Linked DNA regions of Sus scrofa. The protein of the gene in region 2 interacts with the protein of the main gene of each other region in a pairwise test. Links are inferred from orthologs where the notes say so. Each region holds a gene or a part of one and is shown on either strand. Other genes may lie near its edges.

What was found.
Region 1: the proteins of TFG (region 2) and CSTF2 interact in binary tests that used the Homo sapiens proteins (3 or more experiments, as listed by UniProt). The two-hybrid records come from large-scale screens. The link is inferred for Sus scrofa from reciprocal best matches to the Homo sapiens genes TFG and CSTF2.

The regions. Positions count from the first base shown.
Region 1 is NC_010461.5:82,507,209-82,511,628, reverse strand, and holds the start of CSTF2 (cleavage stimulation factor subunit 2), read right to left. Parts: upstream 2,891-4,420; 5' UTR 2,791-2,890; coding exon 2,733-2,790; intron 1,653-2,732; coding exon 1,574-1,652; intron 1,091-1,573; coding exon 921-1,090; intron 140-920; coding exon 3-139; intron 1-2. UniProt on the Homo sapiens protein: One of the multiple factors required for polyadenylation and 3'-end cleavage of mammalian pre-mRNAs. This subunit is directly involved in the binding to pre-mRNAs.
Region 2 is NC_010455.5:158,290,528-158,293,334, reverse strand, and holds the end of TFG (protein TFG), read left to right. Parts: intron 1-1,426; coding exon 1,427-1,809; 3' UTR 1,810-2,245; downstream 2,246-2,807. UniProt on the Homo sapiens protein: Plays a role in the normal dynamic function of the endoplasmic reticulum (ER) and its associated microtubules. Required for secretory cargo traffic from the endoplasmic reticulum to the Golgi apparatus.

The sequences.
Region 1 (4,420 bases), on a different chromosome or scaffold from region 2:
ACCTTCATTTGTTTCATCAGTTCAAACATCTGCTCTGGTGGAAGACTGGCAACTGCTTTGCTAATGGATTCAGGGGCATCCTCGGGACTGATGGTCTCTCCATAAGGTGACTCAATGACAGGGGCACCAGTGCCAAGACCTGATTGGGAAGAAAGTACAAGAAAGTTAAGGAGGCAGTATAAAGAGCTAAACGATTTCAAGTATCTACTCTTTACAGAGTTGCTGTAAGACCCTGTTGATAACTTTAAATTTTCTGGAGCTGAGAAATAAGTGATTTTCAAGTCTCATATTTCTGTGGAGGAAAGTGACAGAGTGTATCTTCTGCTCTCAGAGGAAAGCTGGCACCAGGGTCACAGAAGTGAACAATATTAACTTAAATTAGGGGCTAGGCATATCCATTTCCTTTTACAAATCATTTCATAAGCAAAATGTTTCTTTTTTTTTTTTTTACAATTTTTTTTAATTGTTATTTCCCCAATACAATTTTTTTTTTCTACTGTGACCCAGTTAAAAGGGTTTAATTCTAATTTCAAAATGGAATTTCTGGATTCTGTTACTTCATGAAAAAAAAAGCCACGAGAATGCCTTGGTATCCTTACCAGTTATAGATCTGGTAACATAATTATAGGAGTGGCGGACACTAATGACAGACATAGTTAGCACTACTAACGGCTTCCTGAGCCTGTAATTCATCTTCAGCTGGAAATCAATTCCTTGGTAACGGAAGGTCTTAAGTCAACTTTACTTATTTCTCAAAGGTGTACACTGCCCTAATGCAGGCAGCTCTCAGATGGCTCAAATAAAGATGTTGTGTAGCTGAAAACCATTTCAGCAGATGCTAAAACATATGATTATGTGGCAAATCTCCATTGTTACATCTTTACTAACTCATGTTGCATACAGCTTGGGTTTTTACTCACTCTTCAGCTCCTCTTTGTTCTTTTCGCTGGCAGCATTGTCCACTCGAAGTGCTCTCCCACTGAATTCACGCCCATTTAGGTTTCGCATGGCACTAAGTGCTGTCTCCTGGTCTTGGTATTCACAGAAGCCATAACCCTTTGGTTTTCCTGTCTCCCTATCATATACCAACCTGGAGAGCAGAACCAAGTATCAGGCATGAATGTTATATACATGCAGGTTTTCCACTAACATTGCTGTGTTCTAATGTGGTTTACTTTAAGACAACCTTACTGCTCCGTGTCACTGAAATATTTTTTACACATCTTTCTAAATGGGAAAAAAAGGTAACTTTTAGGAGTTATCTTGTGGCACAGTGGGTTAAGGATCCAATGTTGTCACTGCAGCAGTTTGGCTCACTGCTGTGGTGCAGATTGGATCCCTGGCCTGGGAACTTCCATATGCCAGGGGTGGGCCAAAAAAAAATGTATCTTTTAGCAAAAATGAATGTGAATTATATGGTGTGTGAATTACATCTCAATAAAGCTGTTACAAACAAAAAAGAATTTTTTTGTGCATGTGAAAAGTCACCAATAAAAACTTTGCCATTATTACTAGGGGCCAATTTGTGGTGATTTTTAAGAAATTTCCACCAAGGAGTAAAAGGGGATCTCACCTGAAACTAACAACAGGTCCAACCTCAGAAAAGATGTCCTTTAATTGCTCTTCAGTAGCCTCATAAGGAATGTTCCCCACTAAGGAAGGAAATAGATAATATATTAAAATTCTGAGTTTGTAATCTAGGTCTTTAGTAAGAAAACATTTACATATATCACTGAAAATGTAACAACTGGTTCAAACACAACGTTCCTCCAATCCCGATTCCATTGTACTCTCTTAGACAAGAATTCAATGGTGTCTACTGACTTTAATTACAAGAGGAATAAACCATTGAGACGAAACACAAAAGGTGTATGCCCTAAGTATTAGTTCTTAGACTGAACTGACAGGTGTTACATTTTTCTTAAGTATGGTGAAAATAAATATTTAGGCATTGGTATTTACCTGAAAGTCTGCAAGTCATAAATAACTGCTAAAAATGTCAATATTATAATATATGAAGCCGGCTCCTATGCCAGTATTTCCACATATACACACACTCAAAGGAGAATGACCACGAATGTCGTAGAGGATGTTTAAAAGTTATTCTGAACTATTTTGTCATGTCCCTCCCAAAAGGTGCTTTAAAATCGCCAGATACTTTTAAAAATCAACTTATTTCGGCCTGAAAGATTGCTCAGAATAGACTCGACCCTCTTTAAAATTTCTCTGAATAGGTCTTAATCATTCATTCATTCATTTATTTACAGTTCACCTTAAGACGCCGGGTGGCCACTACCACTAACGACGAACTAAAATGTGAAAAGCAGAGGATGAAAGCCCTTATGAGAGGGCGGGAAGTGGACAGAAAGATCTATATCCTCAGCATATAAACTGTATTCTGGGATAGGGGGTGAGTAGTACGGGGCAGTTGCCATGAGCCCTCGCTTCTATATAATAATTGAGGCTCACGAAAGGAAAACGCATAGAAGCTGAACGCTAGTTTAACTTCCTCGGCCACATCTTGCAAAGGCTTTGAGGCCTCGGGGGAAGGGGAGCATCACTTTGCCCACGAGCCCACCAAGCTGGCCGCCCGACAGGACAGGCAGGTCGAGCGCAAGCCCGACCCATCACCGGCTCCTGCAGCGATTCATGAGATGCAGGACGGCATTCCTCGGCGTTCCCTGTCTTTTTCTCTCCCTCCCGGACGCTTGGATCCACCGAATTCCTCTCACCGAACACCGAACGTAGCGAACGGTCCACCGCAGGGTCTCTCACAGTCAAACCCGCCATCGCTCTCTTCCGGGGGCTTCCGGTGCGCCAGAGCACACTTCCGTACGGCGCATGAGCCCAGCGCCGAACACGCTTCTGTACGGCGCGTGAGCCGGACGCTTCTGAGCCGGCCGGACGCAGGGCCCCTCCCCTGGCGTCATTTCGTCATAGCAGGCGCGCGTCACGTCCAGGAGAGCGCTAACTCCCTCCCGGCTGGGCTCCAGCCTGAGAAAAACTACGTTCCGTGTTGGAGCTCGGCTAATTTGAAGGCTTTTAGTCTGCATAATTCTTTATTGTTCATTATTTTCTTAAGCTAACGCAAGTAATTGTCGACCACAATAACGATGGCGGCGGCGGCGGCTTTACCATGGTAACCGGAAAGTCGATAAACGCTGCGTCCCTTTCCTTTTAGTTCCGCCCTGTTAGGGGAGGGGAAATGCTTGGCCCCGCCCCAGCGGGGTGCATTTTTATCCTTTCTCAAAAGCTCTGTACCCACTGAGGGAGATGAGGAAACAGAGTTACGGCACCCTAGAGAATGAGGGGCACCCAATGCCAAAGCGCCAACATACTGAGAAGATGGGGAGGTAAACACAGAACAGACCCCGTCTGCTCTCTTAGCCTGTGGACTTCACGTGCTTGATGGTGAGGGGGCGAGGCCGTGGAGGATGTTGGCTGGCAGGGCATCAGAAAACATTAGAACAGGAAATGTAATTGGCTAGTAGTACGCAATTAGCAACTAAGTCATGATTTGAGCTCAGCTTGCTTTCGCTCCAGAGGCTGAATGCTTAAGTGCCCACCAGTATAACTCAGAGAATTTAACGACGTAACTCTTTTCTTTCTTTGCCATTTTTGGTTAGAGCTTAAGATTTGGTAATAGTGGATTGATGGCCCAGAATAATGAACCGCTGAAGAATAGGTTGAGGCACTTAGCCAGGGCATGTTCTGCCGTCAGCCATTTGTGGAGAATGGACTGTTGATTCTTTCACTTCATTTAACCACCCCTACTGTTTATAAAAGAAGAGGTATGTAAGGGCTATTTCCTAAGCTCGTGGTGTTTTATAATTGGGTTTCAGTTATAGGCCATGTGCTTGTGACCCCATGCCTCATTGCTATTGTCTATGAGGGTCTTCCCTTCATTGCCATACTCCCAGAGTGACACATTTCTTTTGCCTCCAAGTTGTAGCAGAATGAGGACAGGAGGTATTGACTGTTACTGTTGTAGGTATTATGACTGAACCTCAATTAGAACAATGAAGTAGGTGCTGTATGAAGAGGTAGGGGAAAAACTAGGAAAGATGCATTTCTACATAAATGGGACTATTGTTTTTTGGGGCTTTGAGTAGAAGAGAAAGAGTATGTAGTGGAGAATCAAATAATTGGGAAACCACAGGCAAGATTTGTGGCACATTGACAGAAAAAGTTTTGTGGAGAAGTCCTGAGTTCTTATCCAATTTTGTCGGTGACACTAAGAATATTAGACAATGTAGGAGGTAAAGCACACAGAGACATTCAAGACTGTGAATGCTCTGTGAGGACATAGAGACTTGAGTTCTTTCTCCTGGCCATAGAAGATCAAGCTTCCAAGGCCTGGTTAAGTGCTACTTCATGTTTGGTCCACATTTAAAGCTGCTCAGAGAGCCATGGAATGAAA
Region 2 (2,807 bases):
CCCATAGAGTTTATCCCTTCTCTTGAGAAATAATTAAGGATATTGTTGTCCCAAGATTCTATTAAAAAGCTGGTTTAGATTTCAGTTACGATCTTAAGTTGAATAGGCATTTTCAGTATAAAAGCTGAGTCCTTCTGTTTCTCCAAAAATTTAGACAGTAAAACACTTTACATTTATGTAGAGGATAGAAGAAATTGTATGACATTCAAAGTTTTGGTTTCGTATTTAGACATTACCGTGAGTAAAATGCATTAGATATTTAATTTACTTGTTAAAATTTAAGCTTGCTCTTAATGATTTTAGTCAGGGTCTTCACTGAGTAAAGTTTAGTTCTTTTCAAATTATTATCTTTGTATTTCTGATCCTGCTAGTCCTTTTAACTTGAATTTGGGAGATATGGAACTAGTCAACTAAATACTCTGCTTGGTGGTGGTAACATTGGACCATCTTTGACACTCTGCTGGTTTGGCAGTTTCCCTCTGTGACCTTTTCCAGTTTTATTCATGGACTATGTCAAAAAGCTTTCTTTCATGAGTAAATTTTGAACCCAGGTTCAAGGTGAGTTCAGAATATACTCAAATTCATTCAATCCTTTTTATTTTTTTTAATGCAGGGTTGTACATATTTTAATAATTTTCTTATGTATCTGGTATTTAATGCTGACAGGATTCCAGTCAATGGAGAGGTTTCATTGCAAGTAGCTGCAGGTGTGTTTCATGGTAGAGATAAAAGTTTTTAGTGAAGCAGACCTTTTCTTTTACAAAATTTTACATCCTAGTAACTAATGAATATAGATGTTGCTTTTTGTGGGGCAATATGATATGCTTTCATGTGTTACCTTGTTACTGCTAAGCCAGAAGTTTGAATTATAAAGGCAAAAAAGATTTTAAGAATTGTGAAAATGGGCACTTAATGTTTATTCTTAAATGGCTTAGTTTTTATAGTGTGAATAAACCTTAAAGCATCTCATTAGCACAGTAAGATGTTTGTAGCACTATTGTTTCATTTAATATTCTCTACAATGTTTTTTTTATTTGGTACTGTTTTAAGGCTTCCCCTCAAAACCAGGTTAATAACTAGCTTTTGAATTAATTTCTACACTTATCATTTGAGCATCTACTGTATATACTGGGAGTTATGCTAGAATAGGCACTTGCTCTCAGGGATTATATAGTTTAGAAGAAGTTGCAGTAGAAGAATATATGTAGTAGTTTTAGTTTTAGAGGATTTAAGAAATTATCTGGAAAACACTTCTTTGATACTATGTGGTCTTGAAATATGGAATCTACTACTCTACTTGTTACAAAAGTACTCAGGATTAAGTTTGTTAAATTTCTCATCATTTTTGGTCCATAACCGTAAGACTAATTCTCTGAAAAATGTTTACCAAAAGAAAAAATAAGATCTGCATGTTTTGCCTTTTCAGCAGGCTATAGTCAGCAGACCGGACCCCAACAACCTCAGCAGTTCCAGGGATATGGCCAGCAACCAACTTCCCAGGCACCGGCTCCTGCCTTTTCTGGCCAGCCTCAGCAGATGCCTGCTCAACCACCACAGCAGTACCAGGCGAGCAGTTACCCTCCACAGACTTACACTACCCAGACTTCCCAGCCTACTAATTACACTGTGGCCCCTGCCTCACAACCTGGAATGGCTCCAAGCCAACCCGGGGCCTATCAGCCCAGACCAGGTTTTACTCCACCTCCTGGAAGTACCATGACCCCTCTTCCAAGTGGGTCTAACCCTTATGCACGTAGCCGTCCTCCCTTTGGTCAGGGCTATACCCAACCTGGACCAGGTTACCGATAAAGAGGCTCAGTTACACTGATGATTGTAGCTGCTAGCTCTTTGCCTCCCAAAAGACTCCAATACTACTATTTTAATTTGTATTGAAGTTCAGAAATTTAAAAAGCAGAGCATTTTTTATTGTTGCTGTTAATTGAGAGTATAATTTGCTGGGAAAAAAAAAAAGACCAAAATGAAAGTTCTTTTCCTCCCTTGCTTAAAATAAGTGTAGCAGCTTCCTAGTTACTTTGGAACACTACTCTTAAATGTGTGCAAAGTGATTGACTTTCTAGCTTGCCTTGTCCAGAGGATATTAAAATGCTAGGTTGAAGTTCAGTCATCTTACTTGGCTTTTTACTATTAACATGATGTACTAAAGTAGATTCCTTTGAAAAGACAACTAGATATTATGTATAAAATGTAACACTGATAGGTTAATAAAGATGATTGAATCCATTAATGGTCTTGTAATTTAATTTAGTCATTGACACTATATAGACATGAGAAAAAAAGCAATAGAAATTGATGTTTTGGTCTTGAAATGTAGACATTTTATCTTATGCCTTTCTATTCAGAAATGCACAGTCCTGTTGAATTTTGTCCTTTGGCTTAAACCAATGAAACTTGAAAGTGGATTTCACGGAAAGATAGATTAGCATTATACATAAACACAATAGATACTGTATTAAAAAATACAAAGAGAGGATCCTAACTTAGAATTTTCCTTACAGAGGTGAACCATTCAGCGATAACTCAGTCTTAAAAAAAAACTACATCTCTTTATTGCAGAGTTAATACTTGTTTGAAAAACATAAAATGTAGTATTGATAAAATTGAAGCATGTTGAAAGGATGCAAAGAAAGTTCCTTTAAGAATGAGGGCAACAATGCAACATTCCCATCTCTCTCCCCAAATGAAGTGGAACACTACTTTTGTAAATTAAAATGAGATTTTCATTACGAGTTGAGTTAGATAGAATTATGAAAACAGCCTTGGTAACATTCATTCCTAGAGATTTTCTG